Rattus norvegicus: one gene and its partners. The protein of the gene in region 7 interacts with the protein of the main gene of each other region in a pairwise test. Links are inferred from orthologs where the notes say so. Each region holds a gene or a part of one and is shown on either strand. Other genes may lie near its edges. The genes, in order: Cops4, Ccdc120, Parvg, Sertad3, Dydc1, Ccdc116 and Ushbp1.

Evidence for each region.
Region 1: the proteins of Ushbp1 (region 7) and Cops4 interact in binary tests that used the Homo sapiens proteins (3 or more experiments, as listed by UniProt). The two-hybrid records come from large-scale screens. The link is inferred for Rattus norvegicus from reciprocal best matches to the Homo sapiens genes USHBP1 and COPS4.
Region 2: the proteins of Ushbp1 (region 7) and Ccdc120 interact in binary tests that used the Homo sapiens proteins (3 or more experiments, as listed by UniProt). The two-hybrid records come from large-scale screens. The link is inferred for Rattus norvegicus from reciprocal best matches to the Homo sapiens genes USHBP1 and CCDC120.
Region 3: the proteins of Ushbp1 (region 7) and Parvg interact in binary tests that used the Homo sapiens proteins (3 or more experiments, as listed by UniProt). The two-hybrid records come from large-scale screens. The link is inferred for Rattus norvegicus from reciprocal best matches to the Homo sapiens genes USHBP1 and PARVG.
Region 4: the proteins of Ushbp1 (region 7) and Sertad3 interact in binary tests that used the Homo sapiens proteins (3 or more experiments, as listed by UniProt). The two-hybrid records come from large-scale screens. The link is inferred for Rattus norvegicus from reciprocal best matches to the Homo sapiens genes USHBP1 and SERTAD3.
Region 5: the proteins of Ushbp1 (region 7) and Dydc1 interact in binary tests that used the Homo sapiens proteins (3 or more experiments, as listed by UniProt). The two-hybrid records come from large-scale screens. The link is inferred for Rattus norvegicus from reciprocal best matches to the Homo sapiens genes USHBP1 and DYDC1.
Region 6: the proteins of Ushbp1 (region 7) and Ccdc116 interact in binary tests that used the Homo sapiens proteins (3 or more experiments, as listed by UniProt). The two-hybrid records come from large-scale screens. The link is inferred for Rattus norvegicus from reciprocal best matches to the Homo sapiens genes USHBP1 and CCDC116.

Annotation. Positions count from the first base shown.
Region 1 is NC_086032.1:9,389,108-9,392,607, reverse strand, and holds part of Cops4 (COP9 signalosome complex subunit 4), read left to right. Parts: intron 1-132; coding exon 133-303; intron 304-3,333; coding exon 3,334-3,449; intron 3,450-3,500. UniProt on the Homo sapiens protein: Component of the COP9 signalosome complex (CSN), a complex involved in various cellular and developmental processes.
Region 2 is NC_086039.1:17,440,219-17,444,216, reverse strand, and holds the end of Ccdc120 (coiled-coil domain-containing protein 120), read right to left. Parts: intron 3,891-3,998; coding exon 3,828-3,890; intron 3,472-3,827; coding exon 3,297-3,471; intron 3,167-3,296; coding exon 3,068-3,166; intron 2,016-3,067; coding exon 1,101-2,015; intron 616-1,100; coding exon 501-615; downstream 1-500. UniProt on the Homo sapiens protein: Centriolar protein required for centriole subdistal appendage assembly and microtubule anchoring in interphase cells. Together with CCDC68, cooperate with subdistal appendage components ODF2, NIN and CEP170 for hierarchical subdistal appendage assembly.
Region 3 is NC_086025.1:117,346,187-117,349,686, forward strand, and holds part of Parvg (gamma-parvin), read left to right. Parts: intron 1-2,088; coding exon 2,089-2,190; intron 2,191-3,500. UniProt on the Homo sapiens protein: Plays a role with ILK in promoting the cell adhesion and spreading of leukocytes.
Region 4 is NC_086019.1:91,889,793-91,893,940, forward strand, and holds the start of Sertad3 (SERTA domain-containing protein 3), read left to right. Parts: upstream 1-1,348; 5' UTR 1,349-1,418; intron 1,419-1,424; exon of another isoform or gene 1,425-2,468; intron 2,469-3,823; 5' UTR 3,824-3,826; coding exon 3,827-4,148.
Region 5 is NC_086034.1:16,973,741-16,977,831, reverse strand, and holds the start of Dydc1 (DPY30 domain-containing protein 1), read right to left. Parts: upstream 2,801-4,091; 5' UTR 2,554-2,800; intron 2,053-2,553; exon of another isoform or gene 1,798-2,052; intron 1-1,797. UniProt on the Homo sapiens protein: Functions as part of axonemal radial spoke complexes that play an important part in the motility of sperm and cilia. Plays a crucial role during acrosome biogenesis.
Region 6 is NC_086029.1:97,348,401-97,352,576, forward strand, and holds the start of Ccdc116 (coiled-coil domain-containing protein 116), read left to right. Parts: upstream 1-1,376; 5' UTR 1,377-1,486; exon of another isoform or gene 1,487-1,490; intron 1,491-1,599; 5' UTR 1,600-1,667; coding exon 1,668-1,739; intron 1,740-2,641; coding exon 2,642-3,190; intron 3,191-3,294; coding exon 3,295-4,176.
Region 7 is NC_086034.1:18,099,068-18,103,008, reverse strand, and holds the start of Ushbp1 (harmonin-binding protein USHBP1), read left to right. Parts: upstream 1-1,141; 5' UTR 1,142-1,232; intron 1,233-1,477; 5' UTR 1,478-1,549; coding exon 1,550-1,603; intron 1,604-1,815; coding exon 1,816-1,937; intron 1,938-2,132; coding exon 2,133-2,568; intron 2,569-3,941.

The DNA of each region.
Region 1 (3,500 bases), on a different chromosome or scaffold from region 7:
ATACTACATATCATACTACATATATATTAAAGGGGATTGTCTGTATTTTAGTAGGCAAAGATAGGATCGTAGAGTGTGATTCTTTTTGTCATTAAAGAAACACTTAGAACATTTGACCCTCTGTTTCCCTAGGACAGCAGCGCTCTCGGATGCTGGCTACCCTTTTTAAGGATGAAAGGTGCCAGCAACTGGCTGCTTATGGGATCCTGGAGAAAATGTACCTAGACAGGATCATCAGAGGGAACCAGCTTCAAGAATTTGCTGCAATGCTGATGCCTCACCAAAAAGCAACCACAGCTGATGGTAATGGCCACATCTTGCATGTGTGTAGCAGGGAATATTTAGGGTAGATTAGTAGAGAGTATGTTACAGTAGTGTTTCCAAGCAGTACTTCCTGATAATAAAAAGAGGACTGTTACCGATGATGAATATTAGACACCAGCGTGGGTTTGTGGTATAATCTGAAATAATCCCTATTGGAAAGCGTTTTATGAAATAACACTTCTTCTTTAAAAAATCTTGTTTGTCTGTTTAAAACTCGTGAAAAAAATTACAGAGTGTATGTATGTGGGGCACCTGGATTTTAAATAGCTAAAGCTTGGTAAGTGACACTCATAGCAGACTGTGAGGACATAATTGTCCATTCTTGATTAAGAGTAAAACTTAGCTCAGTAGCTTGCCCAAGGTTCCCTGGGGTCAAATGCTGCAAATGAGGATGAGTTTCCGTGGGGAGTGTGGTGGGTGGGTAGGAAGGGGAGCATCCTCACTGAAGCAGGGTGAGGATGAGGGTGAGGGGAAGGAGAGGCAGAAAGGGGATGACATTTGAAATGTAAATACGTAAAATATCCAAGAAAAAAAAAAAAAAAAGAATAGGTTTTCTTTCCTATGTTTGCTTAAATCAGAATGTCTTTGCCAGGAAAAAAAAAGTGTTTTTAACATTTTCTTATTCATAATAGAGGTTATTTTATGTATGTTTGTCTAAGATGTTTTAAAGTACCATATTAACATGGCCATGATACTAAATGTAGAGCTGTGACCATCTTGAACCATGCACAGCATGGGTGTCAGCACGGGTGTCAGCTAGGCTTACTCCCTGGGTTCACCATCGCCCTGTCCAAGGAGAAATTAGTCGTGAGGACTCATTTGTCTTCACTAGGCTACCTGAAAGGTGACAGTTTACTCAATCTTAGGTTATTATTTATTTATTTTTATGTCCATTGGTGATTTGACTGCATGCATGTCTGTGTGAGGGTGTCAGATCCCCTAGAACAGGAGTTAGACAGTTGTGAGCTGCTGTGTGGGTGCTGGGAATTGAACCCTGGTCCTCTGGAAGAAGAGCCAGTGCTCTTAACCACTGAATCATCTCTCCAGTCCCTCAGTCTTAGTTTTAAGGATTCTATTGTTATTCCTGTGTATAAGTGTGTGTCAGTATGTGTCGGGAACATGGAGGTGTCTTGGGAGGCCAGAAGAAATGGGTCAATGTTATGAGCTCCGCTGAGTCACTCAGTGTGGCTTCTGGGAACCAACTCAGGTCTTCCACAAGAGCAGCCCGTGCTTGCAACATGCAGAGTTTATCTCTAAGCCAAGATTTTATTTTTCATAGAATTTTCTTAAGCACCTCAGGAAAATTTTCTTTATGGTTGTAGATTATTTCTGGTTCTTCTGAGCAATTAGTTTTATCTTAAACACATTCTGAATTGATAAATTGATTTTTATTTTGCTTGACTTATAGAAAAATTAAATTCATAGGCCAACCATGAGTAGTGTGCATGGGCTTTAATCAGAGTTGATCCTCCTGTTTTGTTTTGTTTTAACTTTTGAATTTTTAATTCTCTGTGTAGTCTAAGCAGTCATGATTTGAAAAAAGTGATATACAAATTAGTTAAAAGCTAGGTAGAAAGTTTACAGAATTAGTATCTTCAGTTTGACTTTGAGCTTTTTAGCCACGAGAAAAGTCGGCTCCATAGGTTCTCTGAAGAGAGTGACTTCAGTGACAGGATGCCTGTCTGCTGCCTTCAGCTGAGCCAGCCCTGAGCTGACAGGCTTCTTTTTTTAGATCACAATCTCATTTCTTTTAAAACAGTCATTTATTGTATGCGTATGAGTACACGGTCCCTGTCTTGAGACACACCAGAGGAGGGCGTGAGAGCCCATTACAGATGGCTCTTGTCAGTAAGAATGTGTACTGTTCTCCCAAGCCCCGGGGTGGTTTCAGCTCCCACATCTCATGGCGTGTGATTCTGCCACAGAGGGGACATGATGCTCTGCATGTACCCACCTCAGCCCACCAGGAATACTCGTAATCAAAATGAAACCAACCTTAAAGACTGGTGAGGCTTCCTGTGGCTGCATGATGGTTGTGCTGCTGTTGCTGGTAAGTTTGTGTTCGACGCAGAGAAAGAAAAGTTAATGAGTTTGTCAGCCAGGAGCAGAGCCCAGTGCAGTCCATCCGTCCTTAGCCATTGCTCACCAGCTACTCATTGTGTGCCTTCCTCCCTGACATACTTCCTCACAGGAGCGGCTGAAGTCAGGAGGGATTGTGGCTCACAGTGTGAGAGAGAATACAGACACCATGGTGTGCAGGGCATGAGGGCAGCTGTGTGAGGTGGCAGGACGCAGAGCAGTGCAGGTGCTCCCTGGCTTTCTCCGTTTCAGTCTAGGACCCCAACCCAGGGAATGGCATGCCCACATTCACGATAGCCCATCGCTCTTAAACTAAACCTGTCTGGGAACACCTTCACAGACACTGCCAGAGGTGTGTTTCCATGGTGACTGACTACTGGAGATTAGCTATCACACTAATACTATATTTTGTATGTAAAGTATAATTGTAACTATACCCCGATATATTCGTGCTCACCTTTAATCTGAGCACTTGGAAGGCAGAAGCAAGCAGATCTTAGTTTGAAGCTATCCTTCGGAGTGAGTTCCAGGACAGCCAGGGCAACACAGAGAAACCCTGTCTGGAAACAACAACAACAACAATAATATAATATCAAATGTGAGTTTTAGTAAGTGTTGGTTAGAGGTATAAAAGCTGATTATTACATGTCTAGAAATAAAAATAAAGGTATTTCTTTTTACAGTATAAAACTAGTTTCAAGGGGCTGGAGAGATAGCTCAGTGGTTAAGAGCATTGACTGCTCTTCCAGAGGTCCTGAGTTCAAATCCCAGCAACCACATGGTGGCTCAGGACCATCTGTAATGGAATTCAATGCCCTCTTCTGGTGTGTCTGAAGTAGCAACAGTCTACTCATATACATAAAAGAGAATAATAAATCTTTAAAAAAATTAGTTTCAAACATTTAATGAGTTTGTTTATGTTTATTTAAGGTTCCAGCATCTTGGACAGAGCTGTTATTGAGCATAATTTGTTGTCAGCAAGCAAATTATATAACAACATCACCTTTGAGGAACTCGGAGCTCTTTTAGAGATCCCTGCAGCTAAGGTACTTTTCTTAATTCAATACTTTATAACAGGGAAATTGAAACCCCACACT
Region 2 (3,998 bases), on a different chromosome or scaffold from region 7:
TAGACAGAAGCCCACCTGCTCGAGAACTCTAGTGGGAGGAGGCAGGGAGCTCTGTTCACAGCAGTCCTAGTCCCGAGACTCTATGTGGTCCATTCTGTTGAGGCAGGGTGGTGGCTCTGGAATGGAACAGGCTGGGCACGGGGACAGGAATGAACCCAACCAGGAATGAGCTCAGTTTCCCTTTTATAAAACACCGAGTGTTGGGCAAAGACAGTGAATGCTAAATCACAAGTGTAAACAGAAATGGAGGAAGAAGCAGTCGCCACACCGTTATCCCCCTCTTTGAAGCTAGCTGGGGCCCTCCAGACCCCCAGCACAGGGTAAGAAGAAAAGCAGGGGTATCAGACATCTTCCCGGGCCAAAAGGAAGCCAGGGGTCCTGTGAGATCAGGCAGTTGTCCCGCAGGACCAAGAACAACCACATCTCAGGGCTCAGCGAGGTTGACTGTGTGTGCTCCTCAGACTGGAGTCTGTCTGTCCAGACCGACACAGGGCTTAGGGTCAGACCAGTGTCCCTGGGGTCTGGGTATCAGAACTGGAAGACTGCTCCCCCTCTAGCGTCAGGTCACTTAAACGAGCGCTCAGCTCCGGGGGATACAGGAAATCCGTGTAGTATCTTTAGAAAGGACAGCAGGAATCCGGAAGACAGGTAGGGAGGACAAGGTAAGAGAGGAAAAGACGGATAGGACACACACAGAGAGAGGAGAAGAGCTTGTTAAAGAGGTGGAGACAGCTACAGGATAGCACCTTCAGGTTCTCAAGCATGGAGTAAGCTTGGAAGAGAAAGCCAGGGAGAGCATGAGTCCCTTCCTCCCAGCACCCTGACTTCAAGGCTCACTGCCAGCTGCCCCACACTATGGAAAACAGAAAAACCCTTCTAAAGCTTGGGAAAGAACTCCTGCCACCAACACCCAAGATCCTCCTCCTCAGGACCCCAAGGACTAATAAAAGTTATGTCTGACAGTGACCCCATGCCAAGACTACAGCTCATTTTCTTGTGGTCCCGACACTCAGCAGCTATGGTGACAAAGTGCTCCCTGGTCAGGATACCTTCAGCATCTGTAGCAATACCCCTACCCATCAGTAAAAGCACCCCCATACCTGCCAGAGACAGGGGGCGCTGTAAAACTCCTGGAGTGCGGGAGCGGTGCCTGGCTGGGAGGGCCGTACAATGACTGGCCCACCTCATAGCAGCGGGCATGGAGGAAGGGTGTGTGTGTTGGCCCCACGTGCGGGAGCATTGGCCGGCGCTGGGGACCAACGGCCAGTCCCGAGTTCCGGATGTACCAGTCCCGCAGCCCCTCCAGGGCAAGGTTCTTGTGGCCACCTCGCTCACCAGCTGGAGGTATCCGGGTGGGTGGGGGCATCCAGAGTAATGGGTTTGGATGCACTTCCAGACCCTCCACGGCTTCTGGGGGCAAGCCACAGGGCTTGGAACGGATGGCACGGCTGTTGGGGTCCTTGCTGCGGAGGAGGGGGCTGCTACCATCAGCTGCATATATGGGTGGAGGACCTGGGAGCATGGCAAGGAGCCCGTCTCTGCGGGAAAGGGGTCCTGGAACTTCAGGAGCAGGCAGCAGGTCCCCCCAACCGGCCCCGCCACTACCGCGGGGCAAGCCTCGGTCCAATGAGTAGTCCAAGAGGAAGTCTCCACACACAGGTGGGAGCCGGGGGGGCCCACGGGATGCAGGGGCAGCCGAGCTAGGTCTGGCAGCCCGAGGAGGGTCTGGGGGGCCAGTGGTACGGGAAGAGAAAGAAGGGACTGGTTGGGGGCGCTCATACAGCACCTCACTGCTCTTGCAAACTGGGGGACCAGCAGCAGGGGGAGCCAGCGGAGCAGGTGGTGATCCAGCTCCCCCAGCAGCTGCACGGTCCACCAGCAGGGCCTCAGAGCTATTGCTGCGGCGCGTACGAGCTGCGAAGAGAGAGGCCCGATCCGAAGCAGGGTCAGGCCGAGGAAAGCCCATCTGGGAGTCCTGACTACCGGACCACTGACGAGGATGGAGGCCTTCGGGTCTGGAGAGCAGAGGTGAGGTAACAAGGGCAGGGTCAGACAAAGAATGCAGATGATGAGCGCCCTGGCTGCCCCATCTCTTTCTGAGCCCCCCCCCCCCTTGCTCTAAAATGGGACCAGTATTAGGAGCTGCCTTCTTATAGCGCTGAGCAGTGCGTGTAATGTCATGGGCCAGTGAAGTTCGCTCCCGCACAGGGAAGCTGGCGCATAGGGCGTGAAAATGTACACCAGGATGGGGTACACGCTCGTAGGGTTACGTAAATGTTTCTGGGAAGGAAGCAGTAGCTAAGGAAGGGCACACCCAGGTACTGTTCTGTTACCCAGGGGCTCCTAGTCTCCCCCTAAGGTTATCCTTATGGCTCCTTGTTACCTCCTGAAGGAAGTCCTAGGCCTTATGCCTGGAACTAAAGGCCTTGCTGAATTCTAACCCACCACGCCTATGAACCATCCCCAAACAACTGTCCCACCATGCACAGAATGTAGGCCCTCTAAAACACGAGGCTTCTGTTCACGGCATGGGAAAAATAGACATGTTTAACATTTAGGAAACATTATAGTATAGTGCTTCGAGGCTGACACTAGATTCCATAAATTTCCATGGGTTCAAGCATGAGAACTTCGGTTTGCTCACAGGTTACCTAATTAACCTTTCTGTGCTTCATTTTCTACATTTATAAAATGCAAATGACGGCATCTCCTCAGAGGGGTCTTAGAATGCGAGAAGGAGTTACTATCCGCCACGAATGCTATCAATTATTAGCAGACAGTAGGCATTTGCACATGCTACCCAACATGCACTGTGCCCGTGCCTTTCAAAGGCAGATATCACACTCCACAAATGAAGAGACAAAGATTCAGAGAAAGAAAATGGCATCCAAGAAAACACGGGAAAGCCCCACTTTCACACCTCTGCCTCCAATTCCCACTCCAACTTCTATCCGCCTTTCAAAGGCCGGCTGCCCAAGTCCCACATCTTCGGGTAATTCAACATCTACAGTTAGGACTACAGTCTTCCTCCTCTCATATTCAGACCCACCCTCAAGAGTCCCCTTACTTGCAGAGCCGGGGGCCACTGCCCCGGGTGAGGACAGGGGTAGCAGGCACACTTCGCCCCTCAAAACTGGAGGCACTCCTGGGCAGCGAGCGTGTGGGGCTAGACAGAGATGGCAGGCCCACATCGGGACCCAGGTTAGAAAGTGGACCCACCAGTAGGCCCTCCTGCCAACCCAGGCTCAGGATCCCACTCTTGGTCCCGGGAAATGGGAAAACGGGTTCCTCTTTACCTGGTGGGGCTGGCCACAGAGTTGCGCCGGCTCTTCAGGTCCCCATAAATATCTGATGGCGGAGGTTTCCATGGGGCACGTCGCTCGGGGCTCCCCCCAGATACCGCCCGAAACTGGTCCCAGGCTTTTGGTGGGGAGGGGCGCTCCGTTAGAGGGAAGCAGCTATGAGGCTCTTCTGGGTAGAAGGAAAAATAAGGTAAAATTCAACGAGAGGGCCCAAAGGGGCAGAGCAGGCTCAAAGGGGAGGGGCATGTGAAGGGGAGGGGCATGTGAAGGGGAGGGGCATGTGAAGGGGAGGGGCATGTGAAGGGGAGGGGCATGTGAAGGGGAGGGGCATTGCTGGGATAGGCTTCAACAAGCTAAAGGATGAATGATGCAAGGCAAAAAAGGTAATGTAGAGACTGACCTGTAGGGTCTGGGGCAGAGGAAGGCAGTGAAAGGAGAAACTAAGAACACATAGGGACATGGGGCGCGGCTAAGGAGGAGCTATAGTAGGAGGGGCTGAGCACAGGTTAAGGGAATAGTTCTCACCATTATCATGGCTGGCACCTGACTCTGAGAGGGAGCTGCTCTCCGAGTGCAGAACTACATCCTCTACAGGTGAGAAATGGAGAAGCAAGAGATCAGTCAAGGTCTGGGTTCTAGCTCCTTATACCACTGGATATAGGCACTTCTGTGTAGCCTACCTAAGGACTACTGACT
Region 3 (3,500 bases), on a different chromosome or scaffold from region 7:
CTCTGCAGCTTTCCCCACTCTCCTCTCCCCCACCTCTGTTTCATGTGAGAACTCACAAAGTCCCATTCAATACATGACACTATTAAGGGCTCAGGGGGACAGAGAGGCTAGGTCACTTACTGAAGGTCACATAGCAATTAAGTAGTGGTCCTAGGGTTTGGACAGAGTCAGTTGGGGCCCAAGTATCCACTCATAGCAACTGCACATGGGTGGCCATGTGAGCTTTGTGGGTGCCTTGGCAACATGCTGGGGTGAACACAGACTTCAGAGCCATATGCGTATGAGTTTCCATCTTGTGCCTGCCACTGGGTGCCCTTGGGCTCTGAGGGTATGTCCACATTGGCTGTGTGACCTTGGCTGGCTTACTGAACTTCTCTGAACTTCAGGCTCCATGCATTATAAAGTGGGAGTAATTCTTTCACGGGATTGTGAGTGTGAGTGTGTGTGTGTGTGTGTGTGTGTGTGTGTGTGTGTCATTGCTATTCAGTAACATCCATGTCACCTGACTCACTGTGACTTTCCCCAAGCAACACATCTCCGACTGTATTTTCTTTGGGTAGACGTAGCGCATATCTCAAGTTTACAGCCCACTTCTGGCAGCCTTCTCTTCTCTGCTTAGACAAGAGTGAGTGAGCGAGGACAGAAGACATGTTGGGATGGTAGAGGAGGCCTCAGAGTTAGGTTTCTCAGCTATGTTTTGGGGACAGCAGCAGAGTGGCTTCCAGGCCCAAACTAATAACACCAGAACAGACTTAATCAGGGGAAATTCCATTAAAGACAGAACAGCGTCTTTTCACAGCAAAGAGATTCAGCCGGATTATGTTAGCATTTGACGTGCTCACTGCGGCGTTATCTCAGACCGTGCAGACAGAACAGACAGAAATATTAATGGGCCCGTGTACTCCTCTTTTCCTTTGCTGATGGGAGAGTTTTATACTAACTCTGTTTTCACACATGGATCTGTAGTCCGTGGAATAACTTGTCATTTAAAAATAGACACAATTGGGGGTGGTGGTGGAAGGTGCCACAGTTGGTGAAGTGTTTTCCTGGCAAGCCAGATCCCTGGGGTGTGGTGGCACATGTGTCCTTTTTTTTTTATGTGTATGAGTGCTTGCCTGCATGTATGTATGGGCAACATATGTGCTTGATTACCGAAGGGGCCAGAAGAAGGTGTCGGACTCCCTGGAACTGGTGTCACAGATGATTGTGAGCTGCTGCGTGTGAGAAACAAACCCAAGTTCTGTGTTAGAGCAGAGAATGGTCTTAACCACTGAGCCATTGCTCCAGGCCCTGGCACATCTTTAATCCCAGCATGGGGGAGGCAGAGGCAGAGGCAGGAGGATTCCTGGGGCTCCCAGACCAGCCAGTCTAGCCTACTTGGCAAGTTACAAGCCAGTGAGCCAGTGAAGGATTGTTCTTCCTGCCCCCAAATAGGTGGACTTTTTCTAGAATAGCACCCTAAATTGTCCTTTGGCCTCCACATGCCCCTGCCCACACACGAACACACACATACACACACGAGAGAGAGAGAGAGAGAGAGAGAGAGAGAGAGAGAGAGAGAGAGAGAGCCCAAACTGCTTCATGCAACTATTGATAACCCCCTGAGCTGGGAATGCCAACCCCACTTTTCAAAAGGAATGTGAAGCTCAGAGAGGTGGTGTGATTTCTTTCAGCACACACAGCATACAAGAGGCAGAGTGGAACCCCTCCAATGTCAGCACCCCCCCCACTTCACAGCCCTGGTTCATTTCCCTTGTTAGTCCCTTATAAGTCACTGTGACAAAGAGGAAGGGTTTATCTCGCTTACAGTTCATGTTTGGTCTCTTTGCTTGGCCTCACATGCTTGGGCAGAATATGATGGGGACAGGGGTGTCTGGTGGAAGACAGCTGTTCACATCATGATGGACAGGAAGCTGAGAGCCCAGCAGGAGAGAGCCAGGGAGACTTTAGCCACTAATCTGCTGTACCCCAGTATCTACTTCCTATAGCCAGGCTCTACCTGTAAAGAATCCATGACAATGCACCAGCTGGGGCCCAAGTGTGCTCAGCGTGCTATCGAGATAACAGACTGAAACACAACTCCTGCAGTTTGCAGATGGCGTCATCTTGCTTCTGCTGATTGGACAGCTAGAAGGCTTTTTCTTGCATCTGAAGGAATTCTATCTCACTCCCAGCTCTCCCACAGAGATGGTAAGCTTCCGAAATCTTCCTCCGTGGCCTTCTTTGAGGGGGGGGTAGACAGATTTATGACATTGGCTGACATTCTTTCTTCTATTCCAAGCAATGAGGAAAGTGGGAAGGAAGTTTGTTCATATGCCTGTCTACCCATCTACCTTCACACCCATTTGCCCATCAATCCACCCACTCATCCACCCATCCACATGTTCATCCATTCATTTATCCACTCAGCCATCCATGGATGTCATCCACCTACCTCCACCCACCAGTGTATCTACCCATCCACTCATCCAACACTTAGGTACATATTTATATATCCCCTATACATCTATCTATCTACTCATCCATTAATTCATCCCTCCACCCACCCATCTATCCACCCACCCATCCACCCATCCATCCACTCACCCATCCATCCATCATCAATCCATCATCAATCATGTCCCCACCCATCCACCCACCCATCCACCCATCCACCCATCTATCCACTCACCCATCCATCCATCCATCATTAATCCATCATCAATCATGTTCCCACCCATCCACCCACCCATCTACCTATCCATCCATCCATCCATCCATCCATCTATCCATCCATCTGTCATCTGTCCATCCATCCATCTATCCATCCACCCACCCATCTATTTTTCTACACATCTGTCCATCTACTAGCTCACCTCCCTGTCTGTTTACATATCTACCCATCTGCCTTTCTCAACTCACCTAACCACCCATCACCCACTCACCCACTCACCCACCCACCCACCTACTCAGGCATTTGTGCACTGGACTCCCACTTTCCAAGGGTCTGCTTAGGGCCATGCCATGCTGTTCAGTATACAGGACAGTCCCTCATGACTCTGGCTTTCAAGCTCCTCCGTGTCTACTCATGGTTCTCTTGGGGTGGTGGCCTTCCAGGACATCAAGGCAAGGCACTAGCTTCTGGTGTGCTGGGCAGAGACTGCAAGAGAACAGTGCTGGCTGGGGTTTGTTTTAAAAAATTGAGGAAGATGGAGGATGTCTTGAAATGAGGGAGCAGACTCAGCAGAGGTGCAGGAATGCTTTGGGGGGAGCAGTCTGTGGTTCACGAGGGCTACAGGGACTGGACAGGGCAGGTTTGGTAGGCAAGGCATTTCATATGGACCCTGGATCCCAGAGCTGCCAAAAGACACCCTTAGTCCAGGCAGGCAGCTAAGTTTGACCCCAGGAAGAGGGATGAGAAATGACAGGCCAGGGAGTTGTTGAGTGCCAGGGTGTTCTTGCCTTGAATGTGCACCATGCATCACTGCCCATGGAGACTCTAGCGCCCTTCCTCTCTGTCC
Region 4 (4,148 bases), on a different chromosome or scaffold from region 7:
AGGGAGAAAAGTCCTGTGTTTATTTCTTAGAAGGTATTGGGAGCCATCTTAGAAAAACTGAAAGCACGGTGGTGAATGCCTAAATCCTAGCACCAGAAAACCGAAGTAGGAAGGTACAAGATTCCGGAACAGCTTAGGATACAGAGCAAAACCCTGTCTCAGAAAACAAACAAAAAAATAGCTGGTGGTGTATCTCAGTGATAGAGGACTCTGGCTAGCACCAGCTCGGTGTTCCGTTCCCAACACCACAAAAAACTAAGCAAAAGGGGGAAATTTCCGAGTCTGAAGGTACACACCTGCAACTCCAGGATTGAGGAGATAGAAGCGAGACATGATTAGAATTTTAAGACCAGCATTGTCTACTACACTGGAGTCCAGCTTCACGAGACTGCCTGAATCAAAAAGAACCCGAAAGTGAATCCTAGAAAACAGGAAGGAGGGTACCAGAGACCAAAGAGTGAAAAGCAAGTCAACCCTTCACTACGAAACCTTATCACACACACACACACACACACACACACACACACACACACACACACACACACACACACAAACAAAAACAGAAACAAAAAACCAAAATTTTAAATCTTAGCTCAGTCCTACGGTGCTTGTTCAAAGGCTCAAATGATAAACCCCCAAAATTAAAACAAGAAGTAAGTTTGAGTTTGTTCCCAGAGCTGCGGGCAGCCATGAGGAGTGAGCAGCAACAGGCAGACAAATACGAAGAAGGATGGAATTGCCTGGGATCCAGGAAGTCCCACCAAACAAGCCACAGACCCCTCTAGAGAAAGCACAGGCTCCGCCTACAAAACAAGTTGGGGTTGGGGAGGCAGAGCTCCGCCAGCTAAGGGGCAGGGCTGCGGTCGTTCAGGCAACGCAAGCCGCATCATTCTATTGGCTGCTGTCTGGTGCGTCATGCCCCCTCCCCCGCCCTCCGGTTTCACCCAGCCTTCGGAACTCCGGGGGGCGTGGCCTCCAGCAGCTGCCCACCCTGCAAAACCGCAAGGGAGGGGAGAATGGTGTCACCCCGTATTACTCCGCAGTGGAGTCTGGTATAAGGGGTCTGCAGTGAGACAGAGGAGTAAGAAACATAGCTGGGTCCAAAGTAGCAGTTCTGACGGCGTTACCACCTCCACCATGGAGACTCCACCCCGCCCCCTGACCAGTAGCCAACCTAAACCGGACCCGGCCCAGTGATGGTCGGGGCCTAGCATCCGTGGCTCCTCTTAGCCAATGGTGCCCCGCGGCGGGCAGGATTCCAACCAATCGTGGCTTGCGACTGGACTCCGGGGAGGAGCCGAGTGGCCCCGGGCCAGACCCAGAGGCCCGGGGAAAGTGAGCCGGACTCCTACCCAGCACTGGTGGGACTCAACGCTGCAGGTTTGTCGAAGGTAGTCGTGGCGACCCTGGCAGCCGAGGTGAGGAGTGGCCGCCTGTGTGAGATTTTCCTGGAGTTAGAGGAGGAGGGGGGCGCGCTCCCGTGGTAGGCGGAAGCGGGGTATCCCGAGTGGAGAGAGATTGGTGTGACTGATGGGCACTGGATGGTGGAAGGCTGGAGAGTGAATTCCAGCATCAGTACTGAAGGGGAAGCAGTATTATTCAGAAGGAGTTGGAGTCTGGAGAAGCAGAAGAACGGAGAAAGAACTTTGGAGGCACGAATCGGAGAATAGGACAGTTTGGGTCTCGAAGAACGGGCTGAGTCTGGAGTTGAACGGTGTTCTGGAGAAAGAGAACGTTTCAAGGCTAAGATGTGAAGCATTTAGAGGGACCCGGGAACTAAAGGCATTGAGCATTGGATTCTGAGACGCGGTCGTGAGATGGGAATGCCGGAGAGAGTTACTGACGGGGTCTTGGAGCCGGGCTGGGAGTTTGGAAAGTAAAGCCCAGAGTCACTTGAAAGTGCAGCCGAATTAGGGGAGGTTCGGGACAAGGTCTCAGAATTGGGATACCCAGTTTCGCCAGCGGAACTATGTACCCGAGAGTTATTTATCGTCTTTGGGCGATGTGATGGGGTTTGAGTCTCTGCACACCGAGGACAGTTTGGGGAAGAGTCCAGAACTTTCTGGGGTGATAGGGACCCAGAGAAAGCAGGTTTTCCGACTGAAGTCTGGTGGGGGAGGGGCGCTGGGGCGTGGAGCTCAGATTCGCCGCCCCGAAGGCAGTAGAGGGCGGGGCTCGGCGGCCACTGGGCTGCTGGAGGTCCGGGTTCCCTTCCCCCATCGCTGGAGCTCCAGTACGCATGCTCAGGGAGGGCGGGTCTGTCCAGCCTCTTGGGTGTGCTGGGCCTTCTGGGGATTGTAGTTTGAACGCGACAACAGAAGCTCTACCTGGCGGCTCTGGGTCCACAGTTCCCAGAAGGCCCCGAGGATACATTGAAGTGTTCTTGGTTCTGGTCTAGCGAACCAGGGAAGGGCGGTGCCTAAAAGAGAAGATTTGGTTGGACTGGTCGCTAGAGGGTGCAGTTTGAGGTTAGTTTCGTTCTAGTTGGCTTTCCTTTGGGTCGGAGTTTGGGAAAGGCTCCCTCTTTTGAGAGGTCCTAGACTTAATTGAAGGAAGCAGGTATGGACAGAAATATTCTTGAAAAAAGAAGAAAAAAAAGAATTTCAACACGCAACTGAGCGTGGTCTCACACATATTTAATCCCAGCTGTCAGGGAGGTGGAAAAGGAAGTACGATATGAGTTTGAAGTTAACCTGATCCACATAGGGAGTTCCAGAACTATACAGAGAAACCCTGTCTAGATTAGAACCAAAATAAAACAAAAACCTGAGGTTCAGAGTTGTGACACCAGATCTTGCCAAGATCACAGTGTCTTGAAAGACAATATCAAGATCTATTGAGACGAGAGTTAAGATCTTCACTTTCCAAATGTTGAAATTGATTACCATAGCGTCAATTCAACATTGTGCCTACGAGTAAGTGATATTCAAGCTATGCTCAGGTGTTTTTGTGATTTGTTTTAGGGGTTTTGTTTTTCTGAGAAAGGTTTGTCTGACCATGTGACTATGCCTGGCCTGAAACTGGCTATGTATGTCCACCAGACTGCTCTTGACTTACAAAATTCTACCTGCCTCTGCCTCTGCCTCCTGGGTGCTGAAATTAATGGCATAGAACACCATCCGCAAACTGTTTTCTGTATATCTTCCTATTTTTAATTTTATGTGTATGGGTGTTTAGCCTGCATGTTTGTCTGGGCACTATGTGTGTGCTTGGTGCCAAAGGAGGCCAAGAGAAGCCAAAGTGGAATTTTAGGCAGTTATGAACCATCCGTGTGGGTTTTGGGAATCAAACTCGGGTCCTCTAGAAGAGCAGCCAATGCTCGTAAACACTCAACAATTTCTCTTTTCTTTTTTTTTTTTTTTTTTTTTTTCGGAGCTGGGACCGAACCCAGGGCCTTGCGCTTGCTGGGCAAGCGCTCTACCACTAAGCTAAATCCCCAACCCAGCAATTTCTCAAGCTCCCTTTATTTTTCAGACACTACTTAGCTGAGGATGACCTTGAACTCTGAACTCTCTGCCTCCTTAATACAGAGGTTACAGTTACAGGCATCTCTCCACCCTCACTGCTGCCTGCTTCTCCTCTGTGTCCTGCCCCCCCTCCCCAACAACCCTACCTGCTTCCTGTTCTCTCAGTCACATCGAATGCATTAATTCACCCATTCTTAGCCTTGTCGGATTCTGACTGTGTGCACTTTAGAGGTTCTGATACACACACACACACACACACACACACACACACACACACACACACTTCGCATAGCTGCACAGGCGTACTTGAAAAGGTGGGAGCCCAAGGTATCTGACTCGACTCCCTTTTCCCACAGGACATGGGAGGCTTAAAGAGGAAACATTCTGATTTGGAAGAGGAGGAGGAGGATGAGAAGTGGGACTGGAGTCCAACTGCTCTTCGGAGCTACCAGCAAGCCCTGCTCCGAATCTCTCTGGACAAAGTCCAGCGCAGCCTGGGCCCCAGAGCACCCAGCCTCCGCAGGCACGTCCTTATCCACAACACGCTCCAGCAGCTCCAGGCTGCCATTCGCCTAGCTCCAGCACCAGCCCTGCCCCCAGAGCCGCTCTTCCTGGGTGAAGAAGATTTCTCCCTGTCCACCACCATTGGCTCTATCCTCAGGGAGCTGGATACATCCACGG
Region 5 (4,091 bases), about 1.1 Mb from region 7:
GGTATCAGCTTCTGTGTTAGTCAGTGCCCGTGACCAAGGCCACTATTATAAGGACAACACTTAATTGGGGTTGGCTTGCATTTTCAGAGTTTCAGTTCATTATCCATAAAGCAGGACCATGGCAGTATCCAGGCAGGCATTGCAGGAGAGAAGCTGAGAATTCTACATCTTAATGTGAAGGCCTCCAGGAGAAGATTGGCATCCTCCTCAGGCAGCTAGGAAGAAGCTCTCAAAGCCCACTTTCAGAGTGACGCACTTCTTCCAACAAGGCCACACCTCCTAACAGTGCCACTCCCTGGACCAAGCATATTCAAACCACCACAGCTTCCCTTAAGACTCACCTCAAGCACGTCCCTGTCATCATATATCCTGGGCTCTTACCCCACTGAATATCCTGCCATATTCTAGCTATCACACTGTGCTTTCCCATCTCAATAATCCTTTCCTCTCTACTCTTGGAACATACCTCCTCCTTCGAGCCACAGATCATGTCTGGCTCTGGAGTTTTGTCAAGCAGTACAAGGGAGTTTCTCCTACTTCAAGTAGCTCATACAGCCCTTGTCATGCTGCCTACAAAGTGTATAAGAGAGTGTTAGTATGTGTGTGCATGCATGCGCATGTGTGTGCCCTGCTGTCTCTCCATGGTGGCAAGTAATCAAACGTGTGCCTACTCTCAGCTGTTCCCCAGTCTTTTCAGGTATGAAGGCAGATACGTGAGTATTTTTTAGGGTGACTATTTCTATTTATAGTTATATAGGATAACAGACCAAACAAATGATCCCACCCAAGCCCAGAATTGTGACCCAATGAGATTAAAAGACCAGAATATGTTCACCATTGCAGTTCTCGACTCCTGTCTCAAAGGTGCAGACTCAAGACTGGAGTGACATGTGAACGTGGTTATTCACACGTTATTATTATAGTCAGACTGAAAGTGCTGTCTGAATGTCCTGGCAGGGGATCAATTACATACAACACCATGGAATCCAGCCACAATATAAGGGGCTGGAAATGCTCTCTAAAATAGGCAGTGGTTTCCTAGTGAGGCACAATGCAGGAGGAAAAGGGAGATGTAGAAATTGCTCCTGCTTCCAAAGGAATATACACGTGTATGTATAGTGTAGCCCTAAGAACGACTGGAGCTGGCACAAATACGCTGATTTCCAACTAGATTGGCACTGGTGTCCTAATCACAGAGAGACAAACACGGCAACTGACTGGGCTGTGTCTTCACGGTGCTTCTTCTGTGGGAAATTCTCTATAGATAAGATCACCACATGGACGTATCAGTGTCATTTATATACAACATGGAATACACTCTTCCTGCTGCTCCAAAAACATAGGATCTGGGGCTCTGGCAGCTGCTTAGCGTTCTCCGTGGGGCTTTCATGAGGTCCCTCTGTCATCTCTGCAACATACATTTCCTGGTCAGGTTAGGAAACTACTAGCCATCTCTTCTGTCCTAAGAAGTGTTATTTCCCAGCAAACACCAGTGCTCATCCAGCTTCACAGAAGAAAGTCCGCTCCCACAGAAACATCTGGAGCAGCTGCTCTGAGACAATGGAGGAGGTTCTCTGCCAGGACCTGGGAAGAGTGCTGGATTCGGCACTCAAAACCACCGCAGACCTAATTTCTGAGAAACAATGAATAATTGTCTTATATATATTTGTGCTAGCAAGTAACCTGCTTATCTAAAAGTAAATTTCAATCAGGCAGCCACCAACCTAGACACTTAGATTAGTTTTCCTATTGGGTGGCTAGAGGGCGGGAGAAGGAGGGGGGGAGGAAGAAGAGAAAGAGGAGGAGCCGGAAGAGAGGAGGAAGGAGAAGGAGTCCTTGCGCTCCAAAGGCTCTTACAGGAGAACTAACCCTCCCTCGGATTCTGAGTTGAGACCTACTTGACTCTCAAGGTGAAAATTTTAGAACTGCTTCTGCAGAGACACTAGAGGGCCGGTTCGAAGGAAAACGCTCCAGCCTCCTTGGTGCACGCATCCGATGCACGTTCTGGCCACACGCCAGTGAGTCGCGTCCCGTTGCCTGGCAACGAGAGCACGCTCTAGTGTAGAGCTAAGGTTCCATTGCAGCCCAAGTAGTGGAGGCAAAGGGAAATGAAAGGAGAATTCGCACTCTAGGGGAGGGGGTGCACTCTCGATAGAGCCAGGAACGCGCACTGTAGGGGAGGGGGCACGCAGATGGGAGAACCAGATTTATGGGAAAGGAAACACTGTGGAGAAACAGCGGGAGGAACCCAGCAGACACGGGGACTCTTCTTAGATAGGAGCCTTGTGGAGCAGCAGATCTTTGAAGTCAGGAGAGACACTTTCAAGGCTGCAGGCTTGTTGGCTTGGTAATTTTAAGACCTTTCAGAGTGAACTCACGGGCTGGAGAGATGGCTCAGCCGTTAAAGGCTAGGCTCACAACCAAAATATCAGAGTGAACTCACACACAAGCAACTTCAGCTAGCCCAAAGACACCCTCCACCAGGCTCTAGCTTGCACTCTCCCCTGGTGTGCGTGGTTAGTTCTTGTCAATGTGACACAAACCTAGATATACCTGGGGGCAGGAAATCTCAAATGAAGAATTGTCTCCATCAGATTGACTCGTGGGCGTGTCTGGGAGGCATTTTCTTGGTTGCTAATTATGGGCATATGTCCACTATGGGGAGTGCTTGTCCCTGAGAAGGCAGGCTTGGGCTGTGTAGAAAAGGTAGCCGAATCAGCCAGAGAACGAAAGCCTTCCTTTCATGGTTACTGTTTCACGCTCACTCTCCCATTGCGTTGCTGGCTTGGCTTTCCTTGATGATAGACTGAGTGTAATCTGTAAACCAAATAAATTCTTCCCCCCTCCCCCCGGGTCATAGTGTTTACCAGAGCAACAAAAAGCAAACAATGGGCCTGGCATTGCTCGGTGGTAGAGGCTTGCATAAATGCAAGAAGGGACGCTGATGGATCAACAGAGTCTGAGCCCTTCCTTTGCCCACCCGCCCCCAACATCAGAGCACTCAGACATCTTTACTCGGTACTGAATGTGGGACAAGTGCCAGGGGTGGTATCCTCAGAGGGCTTGTCGCGTTTAAGCAGTGCAGCAGTCACTCAGTAATCCAGGCATGGAGAGACGCTCTGGCAGTGCATTGGTGATTCTGTGCTGGGATTCTACGAGAATAGCGAGAGGATCAGTGACTGGGGGTTGCACTGGGGATTTCGTCGAGCCACACATATATTCAATCTAAGATATCGGAAGTTGCACTTCACCAAACAACAACTCCTCGTCCGATCACATGAAGCAGCAGGGATGTGGAAAACTTAATCCACACAAACCCTTCTGTATGTTCCGTTTCCCTGTCTTCTGACTTCTAGAAGCTGTCTCTGGACATGATCTTGACTTTCATGCTCCTTCTTCCATGTGTTTTGTCACTCTGCCACCCTCCACGTCTGGCCTTACTGACACCTCTGGCAATTACAGCTGTGCCTATGTGGCGCTTTCCGTGAGAATGAGCCCGAGAGGCTCAGATATTTGAATGCTTGGTTGACAGTTGCTGCAACTCTTTTGAAAGGCTTCGGAGATGTCTTGTTGGAGGAGGTGTGTCACTGGGGGTGGACTTTGAGGTTTCAAAAGTCCACAGCAGGCTCGCTCTGTCTGCCCCTACCTCCAACGTGAAGACAAGCTTTTGAGAACTGTTCCAGCACCGTGCCTGCTTGTGCCCATGCTCCCAATCCCATGGCGGCTGTGATTCCCCCTCTAAAACTGCAAAGCTTCAAGTTAAGTGCTTTCTTTTGTAAACCGTCTTGATCGTGGTATCTCTTCACCACCAATAGAAAAGTAACTGAGAGGTCCCGCTTGTATAACACACACTCCTTATTTAAGATCCTTAATCACAATTCCAAAGCCCCCTTTATCATACAACATAACATCCACAGGTTCCGGGTTTGAGATTATGGGTTCCTGTGGAAGCAAAAATGTAGCACTGGAATAAGCCTTCAAGATGGCTCCTGTGTCTACATTGTCAGAGTCTTACTTCCTGGCATAATAAACTGTCTCTGGCTGCTTATATTTTTTTTTGCCCCAACCCTGGAGCCAAACTTTTCCTTAAG
Region 6 (4,176 bases), on a different chromosome or scaffold from region 7:
TTGGGCTTTCATTATAGGATGTCTGTTTCTTGGTTCAAGCCCATGATATTGGTAATTTACTACTGTTTACAGTCACAGAACCTGAAGGTTCATGAGAGAGGTGGAGCAGGAAACTCTGTTCTACAGGTTGGAGCCTGGCCTGCTCTGGTTTCATCGATCCTATCTGATCCCTGCATCACGGGAGAAGGGAGAGAGTTTGATTATAACAGTACCTGATGGGGTTGGGGATTTAGCTCAGTGGTAGAGCACTTGCCTAGGAAGCGCAAGGCCCTGGGTTCGGTCCCCAGCTCCGAAAAAAAAAAAAAAAAAAAGAAGAAGAAAACAAAAAACAAAAAACAACAAAAAAAAAAAAACAAAACAAAAAACAGTACCTGATGATGCTTTGTAATGGTTGGAGGCCTCGGAGAACGCTTCAGCCAAATTCTTGGCATAAACACTGCTGTGTCTGATCATAGTGATTGCTGAACCATCCAGTGTCATTCAACCACTGGGCCTCTCTGAGAAGCTGCTCTTGGGAAGGCCAGAGGCCATGGGACCCTGAGAACCACAGATTGGGAAGAGAAAATTAAGCATTTACTTTATGTATGAGGAATGGAGTTATTAGGGACTAGGGTTCACTGCTTTGATTCCTGCCCTACACGGCCTAACAGTACAGCTGTTAGACAAGAAAGAAACAATGTGGCAGTGGAGGATGGACTTGCTGTGGATATGTTGGCAATGACAGGCTTTCTAGGATGAAGGGAGAAGGAAAACTGTAGAAGTGAGTTTATATGGACTTTAAGGTGCAAAATGTGTTGTAATACTCATTTGTGGAAGGGTGCTCAGCTCCATTATGAGGAGCTGGTGTTAAGGGACTAAGTCATATCAGCAAGAAAAAGCAGGGACAGGAACTAGGCTGTGCAGAAAACCAGGACTCTTCACTTAAAAAGGAAGATGAGGGGCTAGTCCACGCTGCACCAATGAGGGAATGGGGTCCTAAGAGGAAGACAACGAGTAGGAGGTCCAGGAATGAGCTGAGGAAGATGTTTGAATAACAAGTTGAGGCTATCACTTTCACCCTGAGGATTAGACAAGCCCCAGATTCAGACCTCTTGGCTGAATAAAGTCTTATCTATAACCATCCCCAAGCGCTACTTACTTAGCTGGCTTGACTTAAAAATCCAGCAAGGTGGGGGAGGAGCCAATCTGGGCCCCTCCCCCAACCATTGTGTCGGGGAGGATAGTGAATGAGAGGCCAGATTCTGGCCAATCAGGATGAGGTATGTAAATGAGCATCCTGGGAGGCTGCGAGGGTAGGATTCCAGTGCACTGTGCGGTAGAGCTTTAAAGGGTGCTGAATGAGTGAACCCCTAGAAGCACAGCAGAGACTCTGGTAAGCAGGTTGGGGGCTCCAGGATGCCTCAGGTCTGAAAGAAAGAAGTCTGGACACACATTTGGACCCAGACACAGTTGCAAACAAAAGGCAGTGACTTGGGAATGTCCACAGATAAGTGACCAGTCCAAGCAGGGAAAGTTGGGACGTCTGGAGGACACAAGTACAGGGAATGAGGGGTCCATGGAGGCCTGGACCTAACTTTACTTCCTCTCTCCGCCCCATACAGAGGAGTCTGCATCTGTGCTGTAGGACCTGAAGAAGGAAGCAGAAAACAAATTTAATTATCCACATCATGGCAAGGTGCCGCCACCACTCAGGTTATCTGGCTGACGACGAGGCTGCTCACGGCACCTATGTGGCTCGGGTAAGTATATCCAGCTGACCCACCACTTGCTGCTGCTTTCTCATGTCCAGCTGATCTTACTGGGTCACTTGGTGAAATCCTTACTGTAGCGTCGCCTTACCTTATGCCTGCTTGCTGAGCCACTCCCCTTGGCCCCAGATAGTACTTGGGTGGACCAGGAGCCCTGAGAAGGAGCGTACAGGACTCAAGCTGGAGACACAGAATCGAGTCCTCAAGTGTAGCACAGCAATGAAGACAGTGTAGACCTTTGCTAGAGCCTGAGGGCGGAGGGCTCCCATAATTGCCTTTTCATACCACGAACACAGAACTCCACTTTCAGACTCCCAACTAGGGCTGGCATATATGAAATAGAGGCATTGGGAAACCTTCAGGGCAACCCTAATAGACCTGTAATTTGAAGAGAAGCCCTCGAAAAGGGCTGTTGTGAGCATAGTCATAGATCCTGAAGATAGCAGAGCTGGCTGGGATTCAAACTCAGGATTACCCGATTCTAAAATGTAACTCAGGGCTGGTGAAGTATCTAAGTGGGTGAAGGCACTTTGAGTCAAGACTGATGATCTGACTTGGGGATGATCAGTTTATCCCCAAGATCCACATAATAAAAGGAGAGAACCAGTCACACCAAATTGTCCTTTGGCTGCCATACCTGCACTGAGGCATACCTACATGCACATGTACCCACAAGTAATTGTTGAAAAAAATTTTAAGTGTAATTTAGTGGCTGAACATTTGCATATCATGTTCAAGACCCTGGGTTTAATTCCTAGCCTCGAGAAACCTTAAAGAAAAAAGTTTTCCACTGTTCAATACCAACCAGCTCCTAATGGCACCCCGGGAGGACTGCTCCTCACCCATTGCAGGGCATCCTGCCTGTTATGACAACCCTCTCTGTTCCAATATAGCTGCCCAAGAAGCATCTGTTGCCAGAGATGAGGCCAACTTGCAAGCTTGGGCGTGTACCACACCTACCATCAATGAACCGATACTCAGAGCGCCAGGGCCACCAGCAAAACCTTAGGCGCCCTCGGGCATTTGGTGGCTTCCTGGATTTCCTCACGGAGGGTCAGGTACTGGACAGCTTGCAGACAGTCGTGGAGCAGGCAACAGAATGTGTGGCTACCATGAAGACAGAGGCTGGAGTGCCACTGGTGGATGTACAAGACCGAGTGGAGGTGCCAAATAGTAGGCATCGTTCTCGAGGCAGACCCAGCATCAACACTGTGCATCGGCACCGTGCTCGGCCCACGCTGTGTGCTGGACACCCAAACAATTACCCATCTTGCTCCAGCTCCATGTCTGACTCCCATAGCAGCGTCACAGCTGGATGGCTGGGGTCCCGCAGCCAAGACAGTGACCTGGGTGCCAGAGGCGTAGGCTCATTGCCACCCATGAGGGACAAACTCCTGCTTGAGAAAAACCTCAAGAGGCTGCTACGACTGGAAAGCAAAGGGGTGAGGTCTGGTGCCATGGCTAAGGCTAGCAGAAGGTGGGCGTGAGATTAGCGGCTAGGGCTCCGCCTGCTTGGATCCCTCTTAGCTTTTCTTTCTCTTTGCAGAAAGTTCTGAATCAACACTGCTCCCAGAGGGATTCCCTGCTATGGGACTCACTGGGCAGCCAGAGCAGCAGTCAGCCGACCCGGGAACAGCCCCTGTCTTGGTTCTCTGGGCTTCTGGCCTCCACTTCAGTCACCCCTGAAACTTCAGAGTTGGGACTCGGAGAACAAGAGATGATTTTCCTCAAACAAGAATTAAACAAGGAGATAAAGTCACTGCTGAACCAGCCAACCTCCTTCAACCTGCCTACCTATTGTCCACTCAGGGAACCCCATCGTACCCTGGATTTCCTGTCTGAGCACCACCTCTTTCCAGCCCTGCAGCGTGTGGTCAGCCAGGCTGTAGACAAGCTGAGCCATGCCTGCCGCCACAATGGCTTCCCCCTCTTCCCTGTTACCTCAGAGCTGTCTCCAGTGTTTCCTGGGAACTCCGATCTTCAACCCAGCTCTAAGGCTTCCTTACCCACCGACAGGGAGGCTAGGGGAGAGACTTGTTATTCTCCCACCTCGGCCTCCAGCCCTAAGACATCTCACAGAAAAAGCAAGGACAGAAGGGGCTCCCCATCTAATGCAGTCCAGATGGCTACCAGATTCAGGCTCAAGGTGACACCTACAGAAGTCTCTAATGTCCCTATCCCCTCATCCCAGTGCATGCTGAAGTCTCCTAACTCTGACCTCAAATTGCAGAAACAAACTACAGCCTCAAACCACAACCATATACCTCAGCCCCGCCATGGCCTGCACCTCACCCTGCCTGCCCCTGGGATCACAGTGGAGGTGGCCTCCTGCCAGGGCCAACTCAGGGGCCAGGTCCAGCATAGTCTTGCCACTCCCTGCCATCTCCACTCCCATTTCCCTTTCCCTGTGTTCTCCCCATTCCTTCCC
Region 7 (3,941 bases):
GCAGCAAGCCGAGTCGAAGTTAGACCGCGGCGACACAAAGTTCGCGCGCGTTCACACCGCCGCAGGTTCCACTGCCTGGGTACCGGGGCCAGTCAATCAGGTCTCTAGGAAGCCGCCATCTTCCTTACCGGAAGTGCTACCTTCTGGGAAATGTAGTTCAGTGGCCTTCAGGACGTGGAAGCTGATAGGCTGAGGCGTTCTAGGGGTGTAGCTTGGAGTGTAACGGGCTGGAATGGGGCTGAAGAGGGAGGGGTAGTATTGAGAGTGGGTGTGACCCGTGGTGAACTGAAGCAAAACTGAGAGGAATTTGTAGTTCGGGCTTAATCACACTAAGGTTCTCAAGGCCTCTGCTGTGATAGGACAAGAGATTGAGCTGGGCGGGGCCGTTTGATGATTGACGGGGTAGGAATTGGCTTGGACTTGCCTAGGGCCCTCTCAGTTACTTATGTGACTTGGGCTGGTATTCATTCACTAGTTCCGCGATGCGAGCTGGTGGTGCACACCTGTCATCCCAACACTCCAGAGGCCCGAAGACGAAGATCGGGTGTTTAGACAGCCTGGACTATATGAGACGCTGTGTGAAAACCAAATGGAAAGAAAAAGTAAAGAAGCCACTGTGGACAAGCTCACTGTCGCCGGTGACTCCAACGGCCTGATGCAGTAGTTCAGTCTCGTTGAAGAGAAACCTTGTGGGCTACTGAACAGGTGCAGGCTCTTGCCGCCAATCCTGACGACCTGAGTTCGATCTCGGAGACAAGCAGTACCATCACAGACAAAGATAAATAATGAAAAATAAAAGCTATGCAAGTGCTGGAGCCAACTCTCTTAGTTTTGTTTTTAGAGACACAAAATAAAATTTTAAAAAGACCTTCACATTAGAGCGAGCCCTGATGAACAGGGGGACACAGAAAATCCAAAATAAAAATGGAGGCACTACATGTTTGGGCTGGGATAAGGGGATACTGATATCTTGGAGTGGGACAAAGGTCCTGGTCCTCCATCCTCTTCCTGTTCTGGAGGAAGCTGGCATCCTGGAGAAGGAAACAAAACAATAACTGTCCATGTGATCAGGGTAGGGAGCTTCCTGTTTCTCAGCCTCTCCCAGGCCACCTTTGGCCATTGCAGCCTCAGTAGCCAGTGGCCAGAATGGCCTGAGATATTCTTAGGAGTTCAGACCTTTCCCAAGGTGCCCTGGAGAAGAAGAGAAGAGGGCCGCAGGGCCAATCCCCAGGGTGAGGGAGTTTGGTACTAAGAGAGTCGTGGGAAGAAGGAGAAATCTTAGGATACCACTCAATGCCTCCATAGGGAAGAGAGGGGGCACAGATAAGAGAAATGAATTCAGACAGCGGAGGGAAAAGGAATGCCCGGTAGAGATGGGTGACGGGGAGGAGGAGACAAGTAAACAGTGGGCACTATTGGAGAGGTATTTAAATATTTAAATGTGTCAATCAGTTCAAACGAACCAAAACTCCTACAGGAAAAAACAAAAAACAAGGATACCAAGGTAACAAAAGGCAAGAACTGAGAGCAGGCTGTAGTGACAAGAGTAATGAGTGCCCGGGCCACACGACCCCGAAGCCGGCGAGGGAGGCATCCTCTGCCTGTAAGTGTGCCCCTCTTCCTGCCACACCCAGCCCATGGATCCTGGGAACCCAGGTCTGCTTGGCTCAGAACCTGTTGTGGTACAGGGGAGACCTCCACAGGGAGAGCTGGATGTGATGACCAAGAGCCCGTGTGTGTGTGTGTGTGTGTGTGTGTGTGTGTGTGTGTGTGTGTGTGTACGCACCCGCACATGCACGGGAGTGTCATTCACAGGGGGAGCTGGACCCAGTAGCTGAGAGCTCAGAGGAGGTAGATACCACCAATGGGAGCTTCGAGACTAAACCTGAGCTGCTTCAGGAACATCTTGGTCCTAGCCTGCAGGGCCCTGGGAACCGGTAGGATGCCGGGGCCCATACTCAACTGCCTCCAGCTGCTCACCTGCCATAGCTTCCCCTGCCCGCTTCTCTCCTCTTCCTTTTTACCCTCCAGCCATGAAGCTCAGTCCCTGCTCAGCCTTCCTAGGGACCCTGGGGTCAGCCCTCCGCCTCTGCTGAGTCTCAGGTGGCTAGGGTTCCTGATTATCCTCACAGGATCAAGGAGGATTGTGATGTGGGATCCCATGGGGTCCTACCCTTGAGCCCGGAAGAACGGCGCGAGCCTGAGGTGGAAGCCCACCAGGCCCTGCAAGAAGCCCCTCTGGATACTGGCCCTGCTGAGATAACAGCACCCAATGTGTATGAGACCTTGAAGTGCAGGCTGAGCTCCCTGGAGGCAGTTGTAGCTGCCTGGCGCCGCCACTCGCTAAGCTTTTCAAAGCCAGTGGAGGCAGAAGACAGAGACCCGGGAGCTCCGGGGTCTTTTGGTAATGAGGAAGAAGCCTCTGGACCTGGACAGCAGGAGGCAGCGCACTTCATAGAGAGGAACGCCTGGCTCCGGCTGGCCCTGGGCACCCGGGAGGAGGAACTGGCGCGGACTCAGGCTTCACTGCAGGACGCCCAGGCAGAGAATGAGACTCTGCAGAGACAGGTGAGCTGGTGACTGGGAAAGAGGCAGATCCTGCTTTGAGAGTAGACACTGACGTGGGTGGAGCAGTGGCAGATGTGCCAAGGAAGTGACCAATAAAGACAGCGCGGTGAGAGGGGGAGCAAGGGAGACCGGCAGTCTGCACCCCACGATCTTAACACGCAGGAAGCTCAAGAGGGACAATCTCTACTCTGGCGAGCCCTGGCTAAGACCAACGTTCTTCTCAGCTGTAGACTGAGTCCAAGGTTAGCCTGGGTTACAGACCCTGTCTGTGTCAGTTGCACCGCAGACAGACAGACAGACAGACAGACAGACAGACACAAATCTTATCTTGGGGGTGGTGTTTTTTTCCAATTCAAGGTTTCTCTGTGTAACAGAGCCCTGGCTGTCCTGAACTTACTTTGTAGACCAGAATGGCCTCGAAATCACAGAGATCCCCCTGCCTCTGCTTCCCTAGTGCTGGGATTAAAGGTGTGAGCTATGCCAGATTTGTTTTAAGGTTTCTATTGCTGTAATAAAACACCACAATCAAAAGCAATTGGGGAGGAAGAGATTTATTTCATCTTAAAATTCTCAGGCCTCACTCTGTCACTGAGGGAAGCTCAGGCAGGAACTTGAAGGCAGAGGTTATGGAGGTGTGCTGCTTACTGGCTTGCTCTCCATGCCTTGCTCAACCTGCTTTCTTATCTCAGCCTGCCCAGGGATGGCACTACACACAATGGGCTGGCCCCTCCCTCCCCATCAATCGTCAGTCAGGAAAATGTCCACAGGTCCAATTGGGGGAGCATTTTCTCAATTGTGGTCCCTCTTCCAGAATGACTCTAGCTGAAGTCAAGTTCACACGAACCAGCACAACTCCTGAGATCACTGTAGCTGGAACTGAGTGGGAGAGGTGAAGGCACGTGGGGGAAGGTCACAGTACGCAGGGTGCTGAAGGCTGGGCAGGATTTACAACTGTGTTCTTGTGTGTGGTGGGTTCTGAGGGGAACCCTGCTGCAGGTGTTCACTTGCGCCATCTGATGCCTGTGAGAGGAACAGTCTGGCGGTGGACCATAATCCTGAAGGTGGAGGAGGGGCGACAGCAGTGGCTCGGGGCGTTTAGTAGAGGTGACCAAAAAACCTACAGATTATGGGTGACGTTAAACCCAGATGTGATAGGACAAGCCTGTAATGATAAGGACTTCAAAGGCTGAGATGAGAAGATCATAATTTAGTACTAGCTTTGAAAAGATAGGCAATCGTCTCAAAACAGAACAGAGCCCTAGCTGGTTCTGCTAAGAATCCTCGTCAGCCTGTGGGCGTGGCTCAGGGTAGAGTGACAGCGTAGAATACTCCAATGAGGGGCTAGGGGCGTGGCTCAGCGCTTAGCTTTCAGA